7 linked regions of the Kluyveromyces lactis genome follow. The protein of the gene in region 1 interacts with the protein of each later gene in a biochemical or structural test. Links are inferred from orthologs where the notes say so. Each region holds a gene or a part of one and is shown in the gene's direction. Other genes may lie near its edges.

The links.
Region 2: the proteins of PSF1 (region 1) and MCM2 form a complex in vitro, tested with the Saccharomyces cerevisiae proteins (2 studies listed by BioGRID). The link is inferred for Kluyveromyces lactis from reciprocal best matches to the Saccharomyces cerevisiae genes PSF1 and MCM2.
Region 3: the proteins of PSF1 (region 1) and MCM5 form a complex in vitro, tested with the Saccharomyces cerevisiae proteins (2 studies listed by BioGRID). The link is inferred for Kluyveromyces lactis from reciprocal best matches to the Saccharomyces cerevisiae genes PSF1 and MCM5.
Region 4: the proteins of PSF1 (region 1) and MCM6 form a complex in vitro, tested with the Saccharomyces cerevisiae proteins (2 studies listed by BioGRID). The link is inferred for Kluyveromyces lactis from reciprocal best matches to the Saccharomyces cerevisiae genes PSF1 and MCM6.
Region 5: the proteins of PSF1 (region 1) and MCM4 form a complex in vitro, tested with the Saccharomyces cerevisiae proteins (2 studies listed by BioGRID). The link is inferred for Kluyveromyces lactis from reciprocal best matches to the Saccharomyces cerevisiae genes PSF1 and MCM4.
Region 6: the proteins of PSF1 (region 1) and CTF4 form a complex in vitro, tested with the Saccharomyces cerevisiae proteins (4 studies listed by BioGRID, with this or other methods). The link is inferred for Kluyveromyces lactis from reciprocal best matches to the Saccharomyces cerevisiae genes PSF1 and CTF4.
Region 7: the proteins of PSF1 (region 1) and DPB11 form a complex in vitro, tested with the Saccharomyces cerevisiae proteins (2 studies listed by BioGRID). The link is inferred for Kluyveromyces lactis from reciprocal best matches to the Saccharomyces cerevisiae genes PSF1 and DPB11.

The regions. Positions count from the first base shown.
Region 1 is NC_006038.1:615,935-618,465, forward strand, and holds PSF1 (DNA replication protein PSF1), read left to right. Parts: upstream 1-1,395; coding exon 1,396-2,031; downstream 2,032-2,531. Other genes in the region: RAD61 (Rad61p), read right to left, coding at 1-1,137; protein-arginine omega-N methyltransferase HMT1, read left to right, coding at 2,434-2,531. UniProt on the Saccharomyces cerevisiae protein: Required for DNA replication. Functions as part of the GINS complex which plays an essential role in the initiation of DNA replication by binding to DNA replication origins and facilitating the assembly of the DNA replication machinery.
Region 2 is NC_006042.1:1,165,544-1,169,807, reverse strand, and holds MCM2 (MCM DNA helicase complex subunit MCM2), read left to right. Parts: upstream 1-1,464; coding exon 1,465-4,098; downstream 4,099-4,264. Other genes in the region: KLLA0_F12606g (uncharacterized protein), read right to left, coding at 1-728. UniProt on the Saccharomyces cerevisiae protein: Acts as a component of the MCM2-7 complex (MCM complex) which is the putative replicative helicase essential for 'once per cell cycle' DNA replication initiation and elongation in eukaryotic cells.
Region 3 is NC_006040.1:778,954-783,013, forward strand, and holds MCM5 (MCM DNA helicase complex subunit MCM5), read left to right. Parts: upstream 1-1,319; coding exon 1,320-3,560; downstream 3,561-4,060. Other genes in the region: mRNA splicing protein SMD2, read left to right, coding at 3,903-4,060. UniProt on the Saccharomyces cerevisiae protein: Acts as a component of the MCM2-7 complex (MCM complex) which is the putative replicative helicase essential for 'once per cell cycle' DNA replication initiation and elongation in eukaryotic cells.
Region 4 is NC_006042.1:935,830-939,953, reverse strand, and holds the start of MCM6 (MCM DNA helicase complex subunit MCM6), read left to right. Parts: upstream 1-1,324; coding exon 1,325-4,124. Other genes in the region: KLLA0_F10109g (C2H2-type zinc finger protein), read left to right, coding at 1-759. UniProt on the Saccharomyces cerevisiae protein: Acts as a component of the MCM2-7 complex (MCM complex) which is the putative replicative helicase essential for 'once per cell cycle' DNA replication initiation and elongation in eukaryotic cells.
Region 5 is NC_006039.1:1,537,586-1,541,824, reverse strand, and holds MCM4 (MCM DNA helicase complex subunit MCM4), read left to right. Parts: upstream 1-1,439; coding exon 1,440-4,118; downstream 4,119-4,239. Other genes in the region: mannose-ethanolamine phosphotransferase GPI13, read right to left, coding at 1-858. UniProt on the Saccharomyces cerevisiae protein: Acts as a component of the MCM2-7 complex (MCM complex) which is the putative replicative helicase essential for 'once per cell cycle' DNA replication initiation and elongation in eukaryotic cells.
Region 6 is NC_006038.1:972,859-977,092, reverse strand, and holds the start of CTF4 (chromatin-binding protein CTF4), read left to right. Parts: upstream 1-1,434; coding exon 1,435-4,234. Other genes in the region: Golgi transport complex subunit COG2, read right to left, coding at 128-841. UniProt on the Saccharomyces cerevisiae protein: Accessory factor for DNA replication. It plays a role in accurately duplicating the genome in vivo.
Region 7 is NC_006042.1:1,325,362-1,329,059, reverse strand, and holds DPB11 (protein kinase activating protein DPB11), read left to right. Parts: upstream 1-1,188; coding exon 1,189-3,198; downstream 3,199-3,698. Other genes in the region: SIP4 (Sip4p), read right to left, coding at 1-135; GWT1 (glucosaminyl-phosphotidylinositol O-acyltransferase), read left to right, coding at 3,504-3,698. UniProt on the Saccharomyces cerevisiae protein: Has a role in the initiation of DNA replication. Required at S-phase checkpoint. Required for the association of PSF1 with origins. Also required for the proper activation of RAD53 in response to DNA damage and replication blocks.

The DNA.
Region 1 (2,531 bases):
ACTGTTTGGGTCTAGGTGAAACTCCCATAGTGTAAATGTGAGATCTTGGGGATTTGTTTCAGCCCGCTGAACAAAATCCGTGTAGTTTAATTTCGTAATCTTTGAACCCTCAATAAGTTTTGGATTTTCTGTAAGAGAGGAACAAGTCATTAGGAGAGGTGATAACTGTTGCCATTGAGGGGCACTTCGCGGCAGTGGTACTAAATTAGCAATCCAAAGTTGTAAATAACTCATGACATTGTTCTCAGGGTTAATTTGCTGCAAAAACCAGTTCCATACTTCATTGCTTTTATACTTTTGAGTATAACTTGTCAACTCTGTATTGTTGAGTAATAGTAAACAACAGCTAATCAGTTTTACGACAAATAACTTTTCATCACTAGTAGTGAATGGTAAGAAATCCAGATCATCTTCGAACTTAAGCCCTTCTCCGAGTGTTTTTAATTGATTAACGTGAATGACGGAATTGGAATCATTAAAAGAAGTATTGTGATGTTGAGCATCCAAAATACCTTCATTATTTTCATCATCCTCATCGACATTTGATGCTTCTTCTTGTAGCTCTTCATCACTTTGAAACTCTTTTTTCAATAATGTACGTGTTCTTCCGTATCTCACCTGGCTCACTGCTGAAGTGGAGACCACTTTAAGACATTGAATTTGGCTATAAGTCGATATTACATCGTCGGAGTCTTTCAATGACGAAATCATCGAGGAGATACTGTCAATTGTACTTTGAAACTCATGAATCTCAGAATCATTATCAACAGCTTCTTCAACATCTTTCATATCGTCATTGTCGACTGTTATTCGTTTATGAAGCCTTGTCACTTTACGTTTCTTCTTCATAGATGTCGACCCCATACCATCCAAAATATCGAATGGATCAGCTTCAATTGTCTTTGAATCACGGTTTTCAAATGACTCGTATTTATGAGAGGAAGACACATACTCTTCTCTGACAGGAGCCATGGGAGAAGTCTCATAAGTTCTATCTAAATCTGTTGATAAACTTGTTTCTTCCTCGTCAGTTGAAGTGAAATTGTCCTCATCGCTTAACTCATTGTCTTTTTTATTCAAATGTCGCCTCGCCAAGGCTTGAAATTTCCCATAGTGACCATAAACTCTCGTCTTCATTTATCAGAACCTCCCAATGGGCTTTGTTGGTTTGCTTCCCCTTGTTTTCTTTGTTGTAATTTGTTCGCGTCTAAACAGTATCGTTTCACGTTAAAGTCCTTAAATTTTACGTGTTTTCCTCAAAGCGATTTCAATCTAGAGAAGAGAAAAGCTATGAACAACTTTTACAGAGATAACACAGAGGGAAAAGAACGTGCTAAAAGACCTGGAACTGGATTCAAGTCATTGGTTTTGATTATCATTGCCATAGTACCGAAAATGTACGGAGATCTCGCTAACAAGTTGATACTAGAAGCAAAGAGAACGCAACAGTTATCTCAAGCTGGATTCAACAAACAGCAATTACCAGTATATCAAGACGAGCTAGTCCGTGGCATCCTGAAAGAGGTTGGATCCCTCAAGAAGAACGTGGATTACCTACGAGAACAGCAGCTTACTGATCAGGATAACAAAGTCGCTCAATGCCAGTACGTCGTTGCTATGCTTTCGATGGAAAGAAACAAAAGATGTCTATTAGCATACCAAAAGATGAGAAGTGAGATGCTAGACTCAATGGTTTGGGATAACAACGGGATGGAATTTTCTTCTGCCATATCAAACCACCCGAATCTATCATCGTTTGATTCCTCTGTTTTATCACATGCAGAACAAGAGTATCTCAAAGAGTATGCACAACTACTTACCGAATTGAAATCGGGAGAACTCTCAGAAATCGATTTGACTGGGATGTTACAACCGCCGAGCGATGTGTTCATCGACGTACGAGTATTGAAAGATGCAGGACAAATAGAAACAGAGTACGGTGTATTCAACCTGATTAAAGATTCCCAATTTTTCGTCAGACAATCCGACGTCGAAAGACTTATACAACAAGGATATCTGCAGAAGATATAGCAAGGCAGCTTTTTTCGCCGAATTCTGCACCTTTCATTGCAATTCTGTAGATATCATTGCTGGTGATATTGCTGATGCAACCGTTCCAAATGCAACTAACTAGCTTTACCTCACTTTCACTATGGGGAATGCACGATTTCTTTTTGGATTTCTTTTTCTTGCAGCTCATCGCCTTCAAAAATTTTTCAGTTTTGTATTTAAGGCAACGAGGCATAAGTAACAGAACAGTACTTGATCTGGAACCAACTTGTTAGAACGGTTATTGGTTTGATTGCATTGAGTATAGTGTACAGCTTATTGGGATATAATATTTGTCACCATACATATACCAAGACTTGTGTTTCATCTTTAGTCTAATTGTTGAGCATATCTTTCCTAATTGTAAAGCTAATAAAATAAAGGATGTCCAAGACTGATGTCACTGATTCTGCTACGCAGAAAAAAGAATTGAACGAGTATGAACAACACTATTTCACCTCTTATGACCATTTCGGTATTCA
Region 2 (4,264 bases), on another chromosome or scaffold:
GAAGAGTTTTCCATTTCTTCTAGCCCTCTTTTCTTGGTACTTTCCAATGTCATTCCCTCGGAGTTCTGATCCGATACCAGATCTCTCCTGTACACTTTATGTGCTATGATTTTATCACACGCTTCGTGTGATAAAAGCTTTTCAAATATCGAGCTGTACTTGTCAATACAAACCCATGAGATAAATCCTTCGAAACTTGACAGTTCAGGGAATCCTGGTAGCTTTCTGTCTTCTGTAACCGGGTCTGGGTTTTCTTCTATCCCTAGAATGCAGTGATCATGAAACCAGTCCTCATTGCACTCCAAGCCAAGGACGCATTGTAACATCGTTGTCGTTGTATTCGGGTCATACTCTCTATGGCAAGAGCAAAATAACCCTTTGAAATTCTGGCCATACCTGTTACTCATGTCTGGTATATCTGGTGTAGTATTCTTTCTTATATTACAAGGTGTGAACTTCTCACCGTGTTCAAACTGCCTTTCTGTACCGCAATCGCAACTGAAATTCCTCTTATCGAAAAGTTCCACCAAGTCACAGGTACTGTGACACTGAATAGAGCATGAATAGCACACTCCTATACTGTTGCAAGTACGACATGCGAATATTGGCTGTCGAATTGGGCCCATGGAATAAGTGCAATGGCTTGGATCATATGGCATCAGTTTATTTGCTTCATCTTCCAGTTCCTCCTGTCGCTTCACATATTCTTTAACGCTAATCTCGCTCATTCCCTAACACCAACAAGACTATCTTTAAGTGCCAGAACTCACCTTGTAGTAAGAAATGCGTGAATGAAGGTACCCTTTTTGCCTTTAACTTGACGTGTTCCTTATGTTTAAATTTGGGGATATTTCATTGATAGTAAGAGATTTTCCATGTCGATGAATCAATATTCCGTATGATTTTACGTCAATATCGACACATTTGGACGGTTACCGGATGGAAATCGATCTAATATGGGGCACAAAATGCATCACATCATTCCAGAGCTTCAACATCCATACTTTACCTGCAATTGTGTTGCTTCATCGTGTGATTGGAGCTATAAGTACGGTTTTTAAGCGTATGATCCCATGTGATTATCACGTGATCCACGCATCATAATAAAGAAATTATACTAATCAAATGTAGATTGCAAAGCTAAAAGAGGTGAGAACTACCGATTGGTGTTATTGGAATATTGCCATTGCTGTATTATTAGCCCCAACGCTCTACAATGGTCAGATCGTTGCAAAACACCATTTTAGGAAATGTTATTGTTTCAATTAAAGATCATTTTCGTACATTCAACTGAAGAAAAAAGCCGGAAAAAACGTTAAGATCTTAAGATAGCTTTAGATCCCAATGGTCTGAAACAAAGTGTAACAAGTAGGTCATCGAAGCATCAGGAAGACAATTGTGTGATCGGATTTGGTAGTGCGATAATTGAAGATTATTAATTGCTGTTTTTGAAAGTGTTTCAAGATGTCTGATAATGATGAAATAAATAACGGAAGGAGGAGAAGAAGAAGAGCTGATGATGATGAGGATGAGGATGATTCTTTGTCTACACAACCCCGTGAAGGTGGCGCTAACATCCCTAGTTCTCCACAGTTTGAAGACCCGCTTGGATCTCCAGATGAGATAGATTTTGAGAATCCAGATAACGATGGAGATGAAGCTGTCAATGTTCAAGAGGATCTTGAAGATGTGGAAGAAAGAATGAATGAAGTCGATTTGATGGGTGATGATATGTACCGTGATTACGCTTCAAACACAGAACATGATACGTATGAAAGAAGAGGAGTCGACGACCAGGAGCAGCAAGAGTTGTCGCTCGCTGAGCGTAGAAGAATCGATGCACAATTGAACGAGAGAGATCGTTTGGTGCATAGGAACACAGCATACCTTGATGATGATGATGGCGAAGGAGCTGGTGCGCATAATTTGGATGCTATGGGTCTTCCAGTACAGAGGAGACGTAGAAGACGTCAATACGAAGAAGCAGATGATGATTTGTTATCAGATATGGATATAGATCCGTTGGCAGATGAGCTCTCGTTGGAATCTTTGGCAGATGTGAAGGCATCAAGTTATTCTGAATGGATCACTCAACCGAATGTATCACGTACTATTGCCAGAGAGTTGAAATCGTTTTTGCTTGAATATACTGATGAGTCAGGTAAATCCGTTTACGGTGCTCGTATCAGAACTCTCGGTGAAATGAACTCTGAATCCTTGGAAGTTAATTATAGACATTTGGTAGAATCCAAGGCCATTCTAGCCCTATTTTTAGCCAAATCTCCCGAAGAAATGTTGAAAATATTTGATACAGTGGCTATGGAAGCTACACAACTACACTATCCCGATTATACTCGTATTCACTCGGAAATTCACGTAAGAATCTCGGATTTCCCTAGTATATTGAACTTACGTGCTTTACGTGAAACTCATTTGAATTCTTTAGTTAGAGTTAGTGGTGTCGTGACAAGAAGAACTGGTGTCTTCCCACAACTTAAATACGTTAAATTCAACTGTTTGAAATGTGGTGCCACACTTGGGCCTTACTATCAGGATTCAAATGAAGAAATTAAAATCTCGTTCTGCACAAATTGTAGATCTAAGGGTCCCTTCAGAATTAATATGGAAAAAACTCTGTACCGTAATTACCAAAGAATCACCATCCAAGAATCACCAGGGTCTGTTCCAGCCGGTAGATTACCACGTCACAGAGAAGTCATTTTGTTGTGGGACTTGGTTGATATCGCAAAACCTGGTGAAGAAGTCGAAGTGACAGGAATCTATAAGAACACATATGACGGTAATTTGAATGCAAAGAACGGGTTCCCCGTTTTCGCAACAGTACTGGAAGCCAATTCAGTGAAGAGAAGAGAAGGCGGATTGCATGATGGTGATGAACACGAAGGGCTGGATGCCTTCAGTTGGACAGAAGACGAAGAGCGTGAATTCAGAAAGATGTCTCGTGACAGAGGAATCATCGATAAAATCATTTCATCAATGGCTCCATCTATTTATGGGCACAGGGATATCAAGACAGCAATTGCATGTTCTTTATTCGGAGGTGTTCCTAAAAACATTAACGGTAAGCATTCCATCCGTGGTGACATAAACATTCTACTTCTCGGTGATCCAGGTACTGCCAAGTCCCAAATTTTGAAATACGTGGAAAAAACTGCCAACAGAGCTGTCTTCGCTACAGGTCAAGGTGCTTCTGCAGTCGGTTTGACAGCTTCTGTCAGGAAGGACCAAATAACTAAAGAGTGGACTCTTGAAGGTGGTGCGTTAGTGCTTGCGGATAAGGGTGTTTGTTTGATTGATGAATTCGATAAGATGAACGATCAGGATCGTACTTCTATTCACGAAGCAATGGAACAGCAAAGTATATCCATCTCTAAGGCAGGTATCGTTACCACGTTACAAGCCAGATGCTCTATTTTAGCTGCCGCCAACCCGATCGGTGGTCGTTACAACTCTACTCTTCCGTTATCACAAAATGTCAATTTGACTGAACCAATTTTGTCAAGATTCGATATCCTCTGCGTGGTAAGAGATTTGGTTGATGAAGAAAGTGATAATCGGCTAGCATCTTTCGTCGTTGATTCACATATCAGGTCTCATCCAGACAAGGATCTGGATGATTTTGATGATGGTAACGTTCCAACGGAAAATCCTAATGGGGAGGGTGATGAAGAAACTCCGTTATCTGCCAAACAAAGACGCTTGCAGAACCTTCGTAAAAGAGAAGAAGAAATTTCGCCCATATCTCAGCATATGCTAATGAAGTATATTCATTACGCAAGAACTAAAGTTTACCCTAAGTTACATCAAATGGATATGGACAAAGTGAGTAGGGTTTATGCTGATTTGAGACGAGAGAGTGTCACTACTGGTTCATTCCCGATCACCGTTCGTCATTTGGAATCTATCTTAAGAATTGCTGAAGCCTTCGCGAAAATGAGATTATCAGAATTCGTTTCCTCATGGGATTTAGACAGAGCAATTAAAGTAACAGTGGACAGTTTTGTGGGTGCACAAAAGATTAGTGTACGTCGCCAACTACAAAGATCTTTCGCTGTTTATACTATGGGAACAATGTGAAATCAAGATTCAACATTTCCAACGGAAGAAAACAATTCTATAAGCTCAGAACAACAATATACCGTTCCCATTTTTTCCATTATAGATGCAGTACTACATCGCTTATATTAGCATAATATACAAATTTGTAACTAATAGACTTAAATAATGATTACTTCAACCTTCA
Region 3 (4,060 bases), on another chromosome or scaffold:
TTTGAGAGCTAGTTCTAGCCATGGCAATGACTGAATGCTCGATACTGACGTTTCAGTGCTGGATTCATCTTACTGGAATGGCTAATAATAAAGCATGGGGTGGCAAGAGCGAGGGATATCTACATGTAAGGCGTGTATGAGCGCGATTACTTTCTAGACGTGCGCCTATTTTTTTTCTTGTTTTTCTTTTTTTCTAATTTGCTTTTTCCCCATAGTGTAGTTAACATTAAATCGTATGATATTCTGCAGGCTGTTCGCACAAGCTCAACACGGGGTTAATAAGGGCGCTAAGCCGGGTGAGTCTAGTGCTGAATCAGATCAGGAACACACTGGGAGAGAGAGAGGGAGCTGATGATGCGCGGACAAATGAATAACAGACTTGAAATTTTTTACCTAATGCTCAATCAATGATTTCCTAATCCCAAAATCAAAGAAAAATTTTCTGACTAGAATGCTTCCATAATTTTTCAATGATTTTGGCGGCTTGAATTGTGATGAATGCATTCAACATTTTTTGCAGTGCGGTTGAAAGCACAGGCAAAGTGATTCGTCTGTAGTAATTCTAAGAACATTCTTGTGACATTTACTCTCCACCTTTATATTGTTGTAACAGCTGTTGGTCTGGTGACCGATCATGAGGTTTTTCCTAGCCGTTTCACTCAGTTCAAGTCGTAGAAAAATTTAGTCGGGATTCAGTCTCCTCTTGCCCCTCTTCACCAATATGGCTGAATACCGGATTTTTTGCATCTTTCATTTTTGACCGATTAAAGAACGGCTTGAAAAATCAGTACGCTTGATTTTGCTAGATAGCTAAGTTATCCTGGCTTGGCCTTTTGCCGCTTTTGGTAAGGTGGCAGGAATTTTTCATTACATTTCAGCGGTTATTCTGTGTAGCGAAGTTTCTCCGATTTCTAAGATCAGAACAAACCACGAAAGCAATGCACCCTTATTGACTTTCCTTATTCGGTGCAGTTGGTTGTTCGAGCAACGCGTCGTCACCTAAATTGAATCCCTCAAGGCAAAAAGAAAACCGCATTTTAACCTTCCGGGTCACGTGTTGAGAAGTGTTGTTTCATATTTATTTTTCTTTCGGTTCGATCAATTACTTTTCCGTATTAGGTTAAGCGAAGATCAAGCTTTTTTTTTTTTTGATTTGGAATTTTATTCTGTTTTGAATATCCGGATTCAATCGCGACTTAAATTACAACAAACATCATACATCTTAAAGAGTATCCGTATTACATGTCTGTGTTTCTAAGTAAACTGCTGAGATAGGTATTATACAATTTCAAGGGCAACAAGTCAATTGAAGACAGGCCATGTCGTTTGATAAACCAGAGATCCATACCACTAGAGTGTTGGCAGGTGAAGAACTGTCTTCCAATGAAAATTCAGAGATTATCAAATCTTTTAAGAGTTTCATACTGGAATTCAGACTAGATTCCAACTTCGTTTACAGAGAACAACTGAGAAATAACCTGTTGGTTCATAAATACTTCCTTGACGTGAATACGGAGCATCTTATTGGATATAATGAAGATCTATACAAAAAATTACAGGATGAACCGATAGATATTATCCCGTTGTTCGAACAAGCAATAACTCAAGTGGCAAAGAGAATTGTTTTGTTATCGCAAGATTCTGATATTGATCCAGAGACAGCGTTGTCGAACTTCCCACTATGTCAGCTCATTTTAAATTCCAGTTCTATGGAAATTCCATTAAGAAGTTTGGATTCGGATCACGTTTCTAAGATCGTCAGAATTACAGGGATCATCATCTCATCCAGTGTCTTGACATCAAGAGCCACTCAGTTATCGCTAATGTGTAGAAGCTGTAAACATATGACAACTTTGAAGTTGAACAATTTCCAGAATTTGAATAACAATAACGTCCAGTTACCTCGTGAGTGTCTTGCAGATCGTTCCAACGAAACAGATGAAACAGCAGCTTCTTGTGGCCCTGACCCATATTTAATCGTACACGAATCGTCACAGTTTATTGACCAACAGTTTTTGAAACTACAAGAATTACCGGAATCCGTGCCAATTGGTGAATTGCCTAGAAATTTACTAATGACATGTGATAGATATTTGACCAACCAAGTTGTTCCAGGAACAAGAGTTACCATTATTGGTATTTATTCCATCTACCAATCCAAGAATAAGAGTATTAATAGTTCTGGAAATAAAGCTGTGGCGATCAGAAACCCTTACGTGAAAGTTATCGGGATCAAACACCTATCAAATAATCCGTTAAACAATTCTCTATCTATGTTTTCGGAAAGTGAAGAACAAGAATTTTTGGAGCTTTCCCAACGACCAGATCTATATGAACTTTTCGCCAACTCAATTGCTCCCAGTATCTATGGTAACACTGATATCAAGAAAGCCATCGTTTGTCTCCTTATGGGCGGATCGAAGAAATTGTTACCAGATGGTATGAGACTAAGAGGTGATATCAACGTGCTACTGCTTGGTGATCCTGGTACTGCAAAATCCCAACTGTTGAAATTTGTGGAAAAAGTTTCTCCGATTTCGGTATATACATCTGGTAAAGGTTCTTCTGCAGCTGGTTTGACGGCAAGTGTCCAAAGAGATCCAACTACACGGGAATTTTACCTAGAAGGAGGTGCAATGGTGCTTGCTGATGGTGGTGTTGTCTGTATTGACGAATTTGACAAGATGAGAGACGAGGACCGTGTTGCCATCCATGAAGCCATGGAACAACAAACTATTTCCATTGCTAAAGCCGGTATCACTACCGTTTTGAATTCTAGAACTAGTGTCTTAGCTGCAGCAAACCCTGTTTACGGTAGATATGATGATTTGAAATCACCGGGTGAAAACATTGATTTCCAAACTACCATCTTGTCCAGATTCGATATGATCTTCATTGTTAAAGATGATCACAATGAAGCTAGAGATATCCAAATTGCGAACCACGTCATGAACATTCACACAGGAAGAACTCAACAAAACGATCCAAATGATAATTCCAACTCCAACAACGAAATTCCAATAGAAACTATGAAGAGATATGTTAGTTACTGTAGGTTAAAATGTGCCCCCAGGTTATCTCCTGAAGCAGCCACAAAATTATCTTCTCATTTCATCACTATTAGAAAACAATTACAAGAGTCCGAAAGACATTCCAATGAGAGGTCTTCCATTCCAATCACAGTTCGTCAATTAGAAGCCATAATTCGTATCACAGAATCTTTAGCTAAATTAGAACTGAATCCAGTAGCGACCGAAAAACATGTTGATGAAGCCATTAGATTATTCCAAGCTTCTACGATGGATGCTGCCTCTCAGGATCCTATCAACTCCCAGGAAAATGATACAACAATGCTCTCACAAATTAGAAGAATCGAATCTGAATTGAAAAGAAGGTTGCCAATAGGATGGTCTACAAGTTACAAAACTTTGCAAAGGGAATTCGTTGTGAACAAGAAACTTCCCCAATATGCGCTAGATAAGGCGTTATACCTGTTAGAAAGACATGATTCTATTCAACTAAGACATCAAGGTCAGAATATTTATAGAAGTGGAGTATGAAGTTGCAAATGAAATTCAGGAACCCCTCCTTGAACATTGTCTATAACTCATATGTACCACTGTGTATAAGGAATTTCAGCGACTATGTGTTGATATTTATATAGTGTAAGATTACCCGGATAATGATAATGATAATTGGATAATCCGAAAGAAAACAACTGGATGGTATATTGGGTTTGATGCACAGGATGAGATGATGAGATGACCAAAGAAGGAACCTCTCATATCATATGGCAATCAGGACAAGTTATCACAAACTTACGAGATTGCAAATATCATAAGCCAAGGACTTATCTTCAGGATTTGTCTGTTACATATACTAGAAAATTGACCTAAAACACGATGGCCGATACATATATTCCAAAGACAGACCTTTCAAGGTCTGAACTATCTAGAGACGAGCTAACACAACTAGAAGAATTCGAAATGAAATATGGACCCATGTCTCTAATCAGGGAATCAATGCTACAGAGGACACCTGTTATAATATCACTAAGGAA
Region 4 (4,124 bases), on another chromosome or scaffold:
ACCTCTGATGGACAGTCACGTTTCATTTCCAACCAAGCAACTATCAGCGAAGCCAAGGTGCCTATCAGCAACTTCATGCCAGAAAATAGGAAGAAGTTATCGAGTGAGTATTCTAAACCGGCTTCTGCCTCCCCGCCCATCAAACAAACCATATCTGACCTGGCTTTGGATAACACTTTTGCTCTGGCTTCAATACCACTAAACTACAATGGAAATATCAATGGAAATATCAATGAACATAACGACAATCAGAATTACGGTCATTTCGAAAACCAAGTGTATGGCAACGGTGTCCCATCTCTCGCTCCCTCGAACTCTGTCCCCTTCACAGGACAACCACAACTAATACCTCATTCGGGATCTCAAAATACAGCTACTCATTTACGCAAATGTACACAACCATTCGATGAATTCTCCTCATTGAACAAATCACCAGTTGAAGATGCAGCTTTGGACACCGTACGGTCTATCTCATCCCAATCCTCCCATGAACATACTGTTCTCCATAAAGAAATGAACTTCATATCTACCGATCAAAAGTCACAAATAAATCCTGATTGGGAAGTACTCCCCCTCGACATCGAGCAAGCAGGCATGTCTATGGAAGAAGAAGTGAAATTCACGAATAACTCGAATGAACCTAAGATTAATACTACTTTACAAAGACAAATGAATGAGTACGCTCTGGGTGAGAGGCACTTCAGAGAAACTCAGCAATTCATGAACTTTTTCAATTATACTTACAATTACCAAGAATGATTGAATCTTTTTCCATTCGGCTTTTCAGTGGACCTATGTCCACATTAACATTTTCGGTTTATTTTATCTGGTTACATTTTTTTCTTTTCTTTCGATTTTAGATTCATTTTCACTTCACCATTAATGCAACTGACTGTCAGGGGGGCTATTTTATCCCTGGCCAGCTTTCTAAAATCCTCGCGTCCATATACTTATATCGCTTAAATAAGATGAATTCTTACCTACGTATCATTAATTTTTATTATCAATTCACCGATGTTTTATCTTCTCCCTATCGAATCAAAAAGAAAAAATTCCATTAAATTGAACTTTGCTGCATTGGTTATCGATATGTTATGGTCGATAGTCAATGGTTTTCCTCGTGTTATACCTCAGTTAACTAATTTTGGATACTTGCAATACCTCTTTAGGAAAAGTAATATTGAATCGCCTTAACTCAGAAATTAAAAAAATGATTTTACATGTTGAAACACTTAAAACATGATCTTCAATGTGAAGGGCATCCAGGTTGAACGGCTCATCCAAAACCGGACATAGTTGGAGCAAGCTGAAAAAATCAGCAACAATGTCGGCACCATCAAGTCCTTTTCAACATGGTCAGCAATCATCCCAGCCTCCCTCTAGTGTAGGTGCTTATGATAGTTCACAATTCGATGATCAGTCGTTAGGAAACAGAACTCCCCAGTTTCCATCTTCTTCCAGAGGAGTGTCAGATGGAAATAGACATTTCGGTACTGATGACACTAGGCAAGGCATTAATTCAGAATCACAAATAGAGGCTATGGAAAATGATTCACAAGAAATTACTCCATTAGCCGGGATCAGGCAGAAAAACTTGAATGCCATCAAAAAGGTTGATGATAAAACTGGTGAAACTGTAAGAGAGGCATTCGAACATTTCTTGTCAAATTTCACCGCCCTCAATGATGAAACAGGTGAGATGGAGAAGGTTTATAGAGTCCAAATTGAATATATGAGATGGTACGAATTGAATACCATATACGTTGACTATAAACATTTGGCCGAGGTGGAAGACGGAGCTTTAGCGGTTGCTATTTTACAACAGTATTACAGATTTTTGCCATTCCTTTTATCTGGGCTAAGAAATGTGGTGAAGAAGTACGCTCCTGGATTATTATTAACATCTGACTCTGTACTTCCTTCTCAATCTCAAGAGAATTCTCAGGACCGCTCTTCGCAAAGAATAGATTCATCTTTGCCAACTTCGCAGGCTGCCACCGCAGGAGGCACTGCCCCATCTACCATTGCCACTAATCCAGATCAGGTTGAACGTGTTTTGCAAATCAGTTTCCTGAATCTCCCAACTGTCCATAGAATCAGAGATATTAGGGCTAATAAGATTGGTTCTTTAATGGCTATTTCAGGCACAGTCACGAGAACTTCGGAAATTAGACCAGAATTATACAAAGCCAGTTTTACATGCGAATTGTGTCGAGCTGTTATTGACAATGTGGAACAAGTTTTCAAGTACACTGAACCAACCTCTTGTCCAAATCCAACATGTGAGAACCAATCTTTCTGGTCATTAAACGTGAACAGGTCCAAATTCTTGGATTGGCAAAAGGTAAGAATTCAAGAAAATTCCAATGAAATTCCATCCGGTTCTATGCCAAGAACCTTAGATATTATTCTTCGTGGTGACTGTGTCGAAAGAGCTAAACCAGGTGATAGATGTAAATTTATTGGTACTGAAATTGTCGTTCCAGACGTTAGTCAACTTGGTTTGCCTGGTGTTAAAGCAAGTTCGACTCCAGATTCTAGAGGTATCTCACGGACAACGGAAGGATTGAACTCAGGTATTTCTGGGCTCAAATCATTAGGTGTTAGAGATTTAACTTACAAAATATCGTTTTTGGCATGCCATGTTGAAAATGTTGGTACCAGTTTCAATGGTAGTAGGATTAATGAGGAGGACGCCGATAAGACATCCAAATTTGATTATATTAACTTGAGAAACTATCAAAACTATGAAATGGCGGCAGAAACTGATCAAGAAATTTTCCTAACAAGGCTTGATTCTGACGAAATTAATGAATTAAAAGAGATGGTGAAAGATGAGAATATTTATGACAAACTGGTGAAATCGATTGCACCAGCAGTTTTCGGGCATGAAACCATTAAGAAAGGTATCCTTTTACAAATGCTTAGCGGTGTTCATAAAACTACTGTAGAAGGCATTAAATTGAGAGGTGACATTAATATTTGTATCGTTGGTGATCCGTCCACCTCAAAATCTCAATTCCTAAAATACGTCTGTAACTTCTCTCCAAGAGCCGTTTATACTTCCGGTAAAGCATCTTCAGCGGCTGGTTTGACTGCAGCTGTGGTGAAAGATGAAGAAGGTGGTGATTTCACTATTGAAGCTGGTGCGTTAATGTTGGCAGATAATGGTGTTTGTTGTATCGACGAATTTGACAAGATGGATATCGCAGATCAAGTTGCTATTCATGAAGCCATGGAACAGCAAACCATTTCGATTGCCAAAGCTGGTATTCATGCAACATTAAATGCCAGAACTTCAATTTTGGCTGCCGCTAATCCCGTCGGCGGTAGGTACAATAGGAAACTGACTTTAAGATCTAATTTGAACATGTCTGCACCAATTATGTCCAGATTCGATTTATTCTTTGTCATTCTTGATGATTGCAATGAGAAGATCGATACTGAGCTAGCTTCCCACATCGTAGACTTGCACATGAAGAGGGACTCTGCTATTAATCCACCATTCTCAGCAGAACAATTGAGTCGTTATATCAACTATGCCAAGACTTTCAAGCCGGTAATGACTAAAGAAGCTCGTGACTACCTAGTCAAAAGATATACAGAACTAAGGAAAGACGATGCGCAGGGGTACAGTAAATCTTCGTACCGTATAACTGTCAGACAACTGGAATCATTAATCAGATTAAGTGAAGCTATTGCTCGTGCTAATTGCGTGGATGAAATTGTTCCGAGCTTTGTCGCTGAGGCGTACGATTTGTTGAGACAGAGTATCATCCGTGTTGATGTTGATGACGTTGAAATTGAAGATGACGATAACTCCCCAGAAGAAAGTACGGAGGGTGAGGGCACAATACCTGCCACACAACACTTCGGCGAAACACTTGATACACAATCTCAGTCACCTTCTCAACCACTGAACGCCGACTCCGAAACGGGGGGTGGTCCTGACGTAGAGTCTCATGACAACGCTCATCACACAACACATAAAGTCGCAATATCATATGATAAATACGTGGAAATGATGAATCTAATTGTACGGAAAGTGGTTGACAGAGAAAAGAATGAAGAACCTGAAATGACAAAAACTGAGATAGTAGATTGGTATTTACAACAGAAAGAAA
Region 5 (4,239 bases), on another chromosome or scaffold:
GCTTATAATTTTCCGCAATAGCTCATCAACTTGAAGCTGTTTTTCCTTCATGGTAAAATGATTAGGACCGTACTTATGTCCGACATGATCAACTCCTAACATATGTCCGATCAAGATATCGTATTCAGACCGTTTCTCTTCATTGAAATAATACTCCTCTAAGTAAGAAATAACCCCATTATCGACTGTGTCTAAATCCCAAACGTTCAAGGATTCATATGGTACACTTTCTGGAGCCAAATACGGATTAAATAGGGCATCCCAAGTGTCATCACCGGCAAAGAATATTTTCTTGTTATGCAGATAAAGCTGTTTTATTAAGTTATCCTCATCGATCACATCACCATTGAAATTCGATCCTGCATCTATAAATGTAGGCAAGGAACCTGTTGTCAATCCCTTTAATCTTTGTAGCGTAGTTGTGGGAGGATCAGCCAAAAACTTCAACAAGACAGAATCCGTTGAGTTATGGGCCGTCTCATAAAGAACTTTCAAATTGTTATGATAATTAGGGTTGTACTTGGCATGATTTTCATCTACTGGAATAACGAAATCAAACCTCAATGCGTCCACTATTAGTAAAACCATCTTATCGTATTTAGCTTCGAAGGGAAGCTGGGGATCAAGTTCTGCAACGTTATCCAACACCGTCCTTGTTAAAAGGAACCCTTTTGCGAAAAATGCTATGGAAATAAACTGCAATACAGCCAAAGAAGCAAGTAATAGTATGTACAGAGTGTGCGTAGACTTGAACCTTGATATCCGATAGCTCATTCGACTGGACCTCGTTTGAGGCCCCATTATGCTGAGTCTAATTCTCTCTGCCCGATCTCGTTCATCACTAACAGTGGGATTCATCACTTCTTACCAGTTTCCAAACGGGACAAAAACACAACTAAACGAAAGTACAATAAATTCACGTTGAATAATGATATTGTGCAGAAGAATTGAGTCACACTGGCGAAAGTGGTTCGCTTATCTCTCGCCTCTGACAGAGTTCTTGTTACCACTTTATTTCATTTTAAAGGTTAATTTCTTTTAAAACAGAACAATTGTACATCACGTGATCATTGTTCCCTCTTCAAATAATGCAACTCCAATTCTGATCGGCGAAGATACTGACCATTGAGCTGAGTGGATCCATGGTATTATCAACGGTGGCAAGGGCTCATTAGAACCTTGTTTATTTCAATTTGTTCTGTTTTCTTCTTTAGGAAATGTAACTATGTAACCAAAAATGTGTAAAATCTTAACGAGTTTCACTTAGTTCACTCAAAGCATCTCAAACAAGATAACATTATCAATTGAAAGGTGATATATCAGGGAACCTAGGATTATTTAGCTGCTTAGTAGGTTTGATAAAATTGCTGAATTAGCATTTGGATAATAGTGGCAGTATATATCCATAGAACACAGGAAGACAAACGGTTAACAATATTATGTCCTCACCTCCAGCTCAACAACCAAGTTCACCAAATTTGTTTTATGATCCTAGCTCTTCTCCAGCTCCTCATGGTACACAGGATTCCCAGGCATCTCAAGACCGAGGCGTAGGCTCTTCTCCGTTTCACTATCCTTCGTCTTCGTCAAATGCCACGCAAGAGACGGCTCGCGCCGCTCCTAGTAGCAGTGGTTTAAGATCTAACAATTTGAGATCTGATCTATTGAACTATTCATCCTCTCTATCCTCAAGTGCAAGAGAGGGAAGACACTCTAGATCTAGAAGAGGCGAAATTAATGCATCTGACTTATCATCTCCCAGAAGAATTGTCACTTTCAATAACCTTTCCTCATCGGATAATGGATTTTCATCATCATCGAGACCTGCATCTGAAGCTGCTGATCAACCTTTGAAGATCATCTGGGGTACCAATGTTTCGATCCAAGAGTGTGGTAACAGTTTCAGAGAATTTTTGATGTCTTTCAAGTTGAAATATAGAAAGGAGCTAGATGATCAGGAGATTTTCATCAACGAAACAACAGACCAAGAGCTGTATTATGTGAATCAATTGAATCAAATGAGACAACTCGGTACTTCAAACTTGAACCTTGATATCAGAAATTTACTGGCTTATAAACATACTGAAAAGTTGTTTCATCAGATTCTCTATTACCCTCAAGAAATTATAGCTATTATGGATCAAACTGTTAAAGATTGTATGGTATCCTTAGCACTTGATAATGGGTTAGAGAGTTACTTGAATGAAATTGAATCGAAGTTGTTCAAAGTGAGACCATATAATGTGGAAACCAAAAAGGGTATGAGAGAGCTTAATCCTAATGATATTGATAAATTGGTGAGTATCAAAGGTTTAGTTCTAAGATCCACACCTATTATCCCAGATATGAGTGTTGCATTTTTCAAATGTAACGTATGCAATCATACTGTAGAAGTTGAGATCGATCGTGGTATTATTCAAGAACCAGTGAGATGTCCCAGAGTGGTCTGTAATAGCCCAAACTCCATGGTTTTAGTTCACAATAGGTGCACTTTCCAAGACAGACAAGTGATAAAGTTACAAGAAACGCCTGATCTAGTCCCTGATGGACAAACTCCACACTCTGTTTCCCTATGTGTATATGATGAGCTGGTTGATTCGTGTCGTGCTGGTGATAGAATTGAGGTTTCAGGTATCTTTAGATCTATTCCAATCAGGTCGAATCCAAAGCAAAGAGCCCTCAAATCTCTATACAAGACATACATCGATGTGGTTCATATCCAAAAGGTGGCTAAAGATAGAGTCGGTGTGGACACTTCTACTGTTGAACAACAACTCTTGCAGAACCAGATTGATAATGTGGAAGAGATTAGAACTTTGAGTAGCGAAGACATTAGGAGGATCAAAGAAACTGCTCGCCGATCGGATGTCTATGATGTTTTGTCACGTTCCATCGCACCAAGTATTTACGAGTTAGATGACGTCAAGAAGGGAATCTTATTACAACTCTTTGGTGGTGCTAATAAAACTTTCAAGAAAGGTGGAAGATATAGAGGTGACATTAATATTCTACTATGTGGTGATCCTTCGACCTCTAAATCTCAAATTTTACAATATGTTCATAAGATTGCTCCTCGTGGTGTTTACACTTCGGGTAAGGGTTCCTCTGCTGTTGGTTTAACTGCTTATGTTACAAGAGATGTGGATACTAAGCAACTGGTGTTGGAAAGTGGTGCTTTAGTTCTCTCTGACGGTGGTGTGTGTTGTATTGATGAATTTGATAAGATGAACGATAATACTAGATCAGTATTACATGAAGTTATGGAACAACAAACAATCTCTATTGCAAAAGCAGGTATTATTACAACTTTAAATGCTAGAACTTCAATTCTGGCTAGTGCCAATCCTATCAACTCTAGGTACAATCCTAATCTTCCTGTGACTGAAAATATTGATTTGCCGCCTCCATTATTATCAAGATTTGATCTCGTTTATCTAGTGCTTGACAAGGTCAACGAAGCGTCTGATCGTGAACTCGCTAAGCATTTAACCAGTTTATACCTGGAAGACAGACCGGATTCTGTATCTCAAGGTGATATTCTACCAGTTGAATTCTTGACAGCCTACATCAACTATGCAAAACAAAACATTCACCCGGTAATAACTGAGTCAGCCAAGACTGAACTTGTGAGGGCATATGTCGGTATGAGAAAGATGGGTGATGACAGTAGATCAGATGAAAAAAGAATTACCGCAACAACAAGACAGTTAGAAAGTATGATTAGACTTTCAGAAGCTCATGCTAAGATGAGGTTAAGTGAAAGAGTTGAACTTGAAGATGTGGAAGAAGCAGTGAGACTGATAAAGTCTGCCATCAAAGATTACGCTACGGATCCTAAAACTGGTAAAATTGATATGAACCTTGTACAAACTGGTAAATCGGTTGTGCAAAGAAAATTGCTTGAAGACTTGGCGAGAGAAATTTTAAAGATATTGACAGAAAGGACAACAGACACAATAAGTTTCAACGAACTAAGCAAGCTTATAAACGAACAATCGCAAGATAAAGTGGAGAGTATCGAATTATCAAACGCTTTGACAAGATTGCAACAAGAAGACAAGGTAGTAATCTTAGGAGAAGGTCTAAGAAGATCAATTCGTTTGAATGGCCGTGTATGAATAGATATTATCAAGTCTAGTTTTTCTGAGAAAGCCTCTACATAGTTTGCAAAGGGCTAAATGAGAATAACGACCTTCCGCATGTTCTGCTTATATACATACGTTCTGTGTATATATCATC
Region 6 (4,234 bases), about 360 kb from region 1:
GATGAGATGAGGCTCAAAGTCAGAGATGTTATACACATTTACGTAAGGATACTCATAGCGTAGACTCGCTTCCACCTAGGGGGTGGAATCTCACTTTATTTGAATTGGGTTCGCATTTATCATATATTTAAGTTTTTATGGTTTGAGTTTGCTGGTTCTGCTTCTCGAGAACGGGTTTAATTAAAGGCTTTGCGGTCTCGAGAATACTTTTAAAGTCGTTTCTCATTCGAGTAATTAGGGTGGAATCATTGTCTTCCAAATGTCTAAATCTGTAGTCACAACGTATTAGTATAGTAGAGAGCTGCTTTGCCACTGTGAAGGAAAGCTCGTCGTCGATATTCAGCTGCACCATAGACTGTAAGGATGATACAAGTTGCTGGCATATCTTTAGCGATTCTGATAGCTTTGTGATATCGTCCAGTTTACCAAATAGGTTATCAAGCGATTTTAGGTAGGATAATGCTGTTACTGTTTTTTCTCTAGTTTCAGCCACTGAGGAATCACAAAGTTGGAGTAATTGCTTGTTGAACTGTTGTAGATCATTCAAGACTTGTTTTAACTTATTCAACACCTCGTTATTGTCACTAGTATTAAACCTGTCACATATTTCCATGTACTCGGGATAATTGTCATTGATTTCATCCAGTATAGTTTGTTCCATTGATTGCTTCAAGGCAGATACTTCATATGAGAGTTCGTCTAACGATACGTATTGGAAGTTATTCTCAAGTAATAGCTTATCTATATCTAAGCAGCCATTCTTCCGTACAAAATTGGAAACTAACTCTCTGCTTAGTTCTTTAGTTACTGGTAGATCCAAATCATCATTTAGGTCGGTCATCGCTGGGTGAGAGTAGTTTCACACAGTACTTTCCCTCTCTTTTCGCTCTTGTTCCGTTTTTCTGGTAATGATCGTTCGAATATAAGGATCGATTCGTACCTTTAAATATCTTGAACGCTGAATAGAATTGATAGTTAGAAAAATACATGTATATAACAAGGGCAAAGACCGATACATGTGTTTGAATGGGTAGTTTTCGGAACACACTTACTAAACTGATGGTGCAATACAGATGAATAAGGGTGATATGATTACTGCGCATCACGTGACTAATTTTCCTTAAGATAAGTAAATCTATAATCAAGAATGTTTAGATACTTTTGGTCCAATACCTCATCCTTACCTTGTGGCAATTGCATGCACTGCACTGTCACTACTATAACAGTGTCAACTAATACTTGATGGTGCTAGTTCTGTGTTTCATTTCTGTCTTCTTAGCTAACGTGTATTTTTAACAGAAAAAACGCGTCTTGGTGATTTAACAAGTAGAAGATGAGACACAACTTGCTTGAAATCTATAAGATGCACTGAAAAAAGCTCAGTTCTCAGTATATTAGTGAATAGTTTCCTTCAGACATACCCAGAAACATCCAATGGCAATTAAACTAACTGAAAATAGGGTATTTGTTGCTGGTGGGAACACCCAGGCACGGTTGAGTAGTGACAGTTCTCGACTTTTCACTTTAAATAAGAACGCATTGGTGAAAGTTCTTAATTTAACTGATCTTGAGAAGGAACCTGATATCATTGATATTTGTGAAGAACCAAGCGCATTTGTTTTGAGTCAAAATTCAGCTGATGGTTTATATGTTGTTTCCCGCAATGGCGACCTATACTGGTACAATGTACTGGAAAACAAGAACAAGTTATGCTTTAGATCCTCGTTACCATTGCGTGATTTGGCCTTAGTTCATGATGATAAAGTATGTGTTGTAGGTGGGGATGATTTAGAAATGACATTGGTTGCATTAGAAGAGGGAAATTCAAACGTTAAATTAACTTTGGACGAACAACTGGTTAGTTTATCATACAACAAACAAAATAACATTCTAGCAGTATCACTCAGTAACGGTAACGTTGTATTCTACTCTTTAAGTTCTACTACACCCAATAGAATCCACACATTGCATGATCAGCTACCTAAGATATTCTTCAATGATGATCTACCAGCGGACACTGAGAATAATACTGAAAACGCCGATTCAGTCGCTATAGATGGACTTGATCCTATGCTATGCGAAGATAACAGAACATGCACTAGAGTTGCATGGACCAATAAAGGAGACCAATATGCAATTCCAGCAAAAGATAGTGTCATTAAGTTATTTAAATTATCAGATCATGATTTGGTGACCTCGTTCAAGCCAAGTGTGCACGTTAACAACTGGGACGCACTTACAATAGACCAAATTCATTCAAACACAATCGCTGCAGTCGGTAATTCCAACCAAAATTCTCATCTATTTATTTGGAATTTAAGTACTGGTACACAGCTTGTTCACGAAAGCTTTAGGTATAGTATCACTTCTTTGTCTTGGAGAGTAAACGATCAGAGAACCAAACTTAGCTTGGTAGCAGGTACTTGGTCGGGCGATGTTATCACGTTCAATGACATTGTTTCAGTAAATACTACAGTTGCTTATTCAAATACCGGTGGTAAGCTTTTTGTTGGCTCTGATGATGAAAAGTTATTTGACGATAGTGACATAGATGATTTATCTAAACAAACAAGCAACGGTCCTGAGTTCTACGAGCCTTCCAAGAATGATAATAACAGAAGATCGAAATATGAAAACAACGACAAAGCTGATGACAAAGGTGAGGTTAGTGAAGATATAAACTCTGACAACCTTTTCACAGATGCAGAAATGGATCAACATGAACCTAAGCGTACATACAATTTCGAGAATGAAGATGATTTTATTGAGGATGATAATGGCGAGGCCGCACAATATAAGAGACCAAAAACTCATGTTCAATCAATTCCTTCTTTGACAGCTAATCATGTAAATCATCGCAGAATTTACCAACCACCAGCTCAATTCCAATACCGACCATTTTCAACAGGCGCGACACCTTTCGGGAATAGCGATAAAAGATACCTTACTATAAACCAACTAGGTCATGTATGGACAACAAGAAATGAAGGCGGTAGCAATTCTATAACGGTCTCTTTTTTCGATGTTAGTCGATTCCGTGAGTATCATTTCGACGATTTATTCAAATATGACCTTTGTTCACTGACCGATGAAGGTATACTATTGGGCCAGTCGAAGATGGGTCAAATTCAATACAAGCCACATAGTCCCTCTGGAGATTCATGGACTAAAAAGATTCCCTTACTTTCCAAAGAAAGAGTTACTTCAATTGCCTGTACTCCTAAACGTGTAATTGTAGGAACATCTCTCGGATATCTTCGTACTTATAACGATTTTGGGTTACCACTGGCAATAGAAAAAATGTCACCTATTGTTGCTTTGTCTGCTCATGAGTACAAAGTGTTCACCATTCATTACTCACAATATCATGGTATTACTTACTCGATGTTCCAACAACATCCGCAAACTGGCAATAAATACTTCCAAAGAGAATCTCCCTTACCAATAACGTTGCCTCAACAGAATCAGCCGGGAAATGATGATGAAGACATTGAATTTTTAAAATACGATGATATTTTCAATTCATTCAACCCCCTAGGTATCAAATCCTTATTCTTCTCAAGCTTTGGTGATCCGTGTATGTTTGGTCATGATAATGTTTTGTTAATTCTGTCCAAATGGAGAAGTGGTAGTGACGCGAGATGGGTACCCATAGTTGATACCAATTTAGAACTTTGGAAGATGTCAGGGGGTAAGCATCCGAAGAACGTCCACGTTTGGCCATTAGGATTAAACTTCGATACATTTTCGTATTTATTATTGAAGGGGAAGAACGCATGGCCAGATATCCCAATGACCGTTCCTACAGAAATGGAAGTCAGAATCCCAGTTGTATCAAAATCCGAGCTTCAAAAGACACAAGACGATAATCGTAACGACAGCAGCGATGTGGAAGATATTGATAACAGTAATGGTGTCGAAATTCCAATGTACCTAGCAGCAGAAGAGGAATTTCTACGCTCCAAGATACTAAGTGATTTACTAAAAGACACGATGGATAATGAAGGTGAGATATACGGAAATGAAACAGATCTATTACAGCATCTGGTAGCAACACATGATAAGTCCTTACTACGACTTTTAGCTTATGTCTGTTCCGAGCAAGATGTTAACAAGGCCGTTTCAATCGTCAACGAACTGAAGCAAGATAAGGCCCTATCTGCTGCAAGAAAAATTGCAGAAAGAGCTGAACTACTTCCACTAGTAAGAAAAATCAACACGATTATTGAGGCCA
Region 7 (3,698 bases), on another chromosome or scaffold:
CTTCTCATTGTGTTTGTCGACTTTCCCATATTTACGCTTCTTACCTGACTGACTGCTACTGTCATCACTGCTATTACCAGTAGACATCTTACCAGCAAGCACGCCCTTTACATCATCCTGCGAAACACTTGGCATAGTGATATATACATATACTTGGCGCTACTACAGGAAGCTTATAGCAAGCTTACGTTCCAAACAGAAAAAAAAACATCTGATACCTACCATAAACCTTCCGGTTCATGGTTATATGGCAGAACGTTTCCCCAGGTCCGTTTGTCTTATATATCTGATTCAGAATCATGAATAATAATAATAATATTTGGCTATAAAAACCCTCGAGAAATCTAATTCAAGAAACTAAGGCAAGAAGAAACTACCTTTTAACAAGCCAAGAGAATAAACCAATGAGATAACCGAGATAGCTGGGACGTTTGAAGAATTTCCCTTAATTGATGGATCCCAGAAACTGACATTTGTGACATTTCCACAAGTGACGTTGGACATATTATTCAGTATTCGGTATGCTATAGACTATATAAGAGGGCTAATTAATATGCGTTAGTAGTGTGTAATTCCAGTTTTGCAATTGTCCCTTTCAGCCGGATCTGGGGAAAGGAAGTTTTGGGGACAAAAAAAGCGGTTCTAGGCGCGGTTTTCCGTGTAGTCAGCAAAAAAATTTGTGCAGTTATATCGGTTTATCGTAGGGAGAGTAAGGACCTGAAAGGATTTGTCCGGATGAAAGGCTAACGGGGAGAAGTCACAAGTCCGAATGGTGTATGGGTGGCGATGTTTGCCTGCTTCTTGCAATTTCACATGTGACAGATATATGAGTCAGCTGGACGGTTGCTGACAAGGATGATGACTCGACGGGGGGGGCGCCGGAAGGGGGAGATTCGCTGTAGTCACGTGGTTAGTGTTTAATTTTTGGTTTTGGTTTTCGTTTTCTCAGGGTAACCCTGGGTAGCTTGTGTTTTTCGTCCACGTGACCTGTAAACAAATGTCATTTTACAACTCTTCTCTGTTTATTATTTTCCACACATAAACGCGTATTTACACAGATATCCAATCCATCCTTCCTTCCTTCACATATGAATGGTGATGATGTGTCTAAAAAGCTGGAACAAAGGTGTAGATAGCTTCTTCTTCTTCTTCTTCTTCTTCCTCAATTCTCCCTGAAGTAGAGCAAACATGTCCGGCAAACCATTTCAAGGACTGGTGTTCTGTCCTACGTCTCTCCCGTTGTCGGTTTCTGATACCATCTCACATAAAGTGACAAAACTCGGTGGGACTTATACCAAGGATTTGACAAGACTAGTCAACGTATTGGTTGTTGGAGAGTTATTCACCGCAAAGTATAACTTTGCTGTCAAGAATAGAACTGATATCGTGTTTGTTAGTCCGGGATCCGTTGATCAGTTGTACGATGCGTGGCTCGCAGGAGAAGATCTGTTGCAGTTGGCTAAATTCGATATGTCCCAGTACTTAAAATCGAAGTACTCTATCGGGTCGTTTGAAAAATTTAACTTGTTCATTGGCAGAATACGACCTAATAACCATTATTCTCTTGAGTCGTTGGTTCAGTTGTGTAAATTGGGTAAAGTGAAATCGGTAGATACCACGCATTTCATTAGGAACTCTTCGTCATCCAATGCATGCATTTCGTTGTTTATTACCGATGATTTATCGGGGAACCGTGTCCAGGCTGCTTTAGAAGAGAACGTTCCCGTAGTGCATCCAAAATGGATCATTGATTGTATGGACAGATCAGGGACTCTAGACTTTCAATCTTTCTACCTGTTGAAAAATTGTCATGAACTTGAATACTCTGACATTGGTTCTGGTTCGTACATTCGTGACGTTCCAGATAAGAAAAAATCTGTAACTGAACCAAATCCCATGGGTGTACAAGATGATTCGGTGAATCCGTTGAAGATTGCTATAGATAAATTTAAGCCTCAAGCGAATCAGATATGGGGGAAACTATTGGCAAGAGATGGTGATGCTTCAGCGTCAAAGTCCACTGATATTAAGGAAGCCACCCCAACGCATCAAGAATGCCTTGGTGAGACAAAGGATACACCGACCTTCCTGGACTGTCACTTCGTGCTATTCAAGTTCGAAAAAAGACAGGTTACTATCTTATCTAATGTCATTCGCGGTAATAAAGGAACGTCTTCCCTCTTCGAGGATACATCACCGTCACCGGCACAGCTGAAGGATAAGACCATTTATTATATCTGTCCAAGTGGATTTCCGGCAAATCTACTGCCGAGAATCCCAAATGAATCATCGTGGTTGACAGAATTCTTCATCGAACGATGTTTGTATTACGAACAACTCCTACCTCCGGATTTTTGGTCAAAACCTTTCTACAACGATTTCAATATCATTCCACCTAAATCGGTGTTACATGGCCCTAAACTTTCCTTCCATATCACAGGGTTCCATGGCGTGGAATTACTACACATCAATAAAATTATAGACTTTTTGAAGTTGATTGGTTTTGACCATCATGAGAAATTGACGAAGAAGACGGATTTCTTACTCGTTAACATCTCCCAATTGACTTCAATACCACAGGAACATACTTTAAGGCAAAATAAGTACGCGTCAATGTTCAGGACAGATTTGGATATGAAGATCTCTGTAAATCAAGCTCAAATGTTTAGAAATTCAATGAAACGGAAAATTGAATTCGTTAAGCAAGCTCATCATATTCCCATCCTAACTCCAAGTTTTGTCATTGAACTCTTCCAAAGAGCAATGAAACCTAATAAGACTTCCATGAACATCTACTTTAATGACGTTAATTGGTGTATTTCTTGTCCCAAGGGTTCTAAATCTGACTTTGCACTACAAATAATTCCAAAGGAAAGAGGAAACGAGGATCCTTTGCTAGAGAAACCCGCTCCTGTTGATATTGCGGCACCTCTGTCAACTGCCTCTTCTGCATCAGCAGAACTACCTCATGTTCCAAATAGAGGGAACCGTTGGGGGAAACTTCTTTCAAATAATGTAGATACAGAGAATGAGGAATCAAGCTTTATCCAAACTGTAGGTCATGATAGTGACCATCTTTCGCATACTCAGATCACGTACGGATCAGCATCAACGTCGACATCTGTGCAGCAGAATTTGAAAAGAAGGAAGATTTCTACCAGAAGCCAAGCTAAAGACATCATTTCTCATGTTTCATAAATCTCATGTATTATTACGTCACGCCATATATATGTATGTATATATGTATACATATCCATTCGGATATTATCTGTAACAAGATCATTAACATTCTTATTCTGCTTAGAAGTGCCTCTAACTCCTAAATGTGTGTCATTTTTACGTGTCTGAACCTATATTCCAGATTTACTCTTCTGTGCATGCTTCCTTTAAAAGTGAAAATATTGACAAGTGTCATTCTACCTGTTTATTAAGCTCTAGATCAATGAAGGTTCAATAAAGGAAGTAAGTACAAGAAACGTATACAGGCTCGGGGATATCAGACCATGGATGCTTCTGGTGTAATTGATGAATTGAAACACCGGAAGGAAGCTTTCGTTACCGGACACTCCGGAAGTTCAATTGCAGATTTACGAGATGTCACATTAGCCGGTATTTTTTCTAACGCCGCTTGGATCTACGTCGTTTCGAACAATCCCAGCTACCGGGACTCCTTCTGGTTAGATTTCTTATTGAATTGG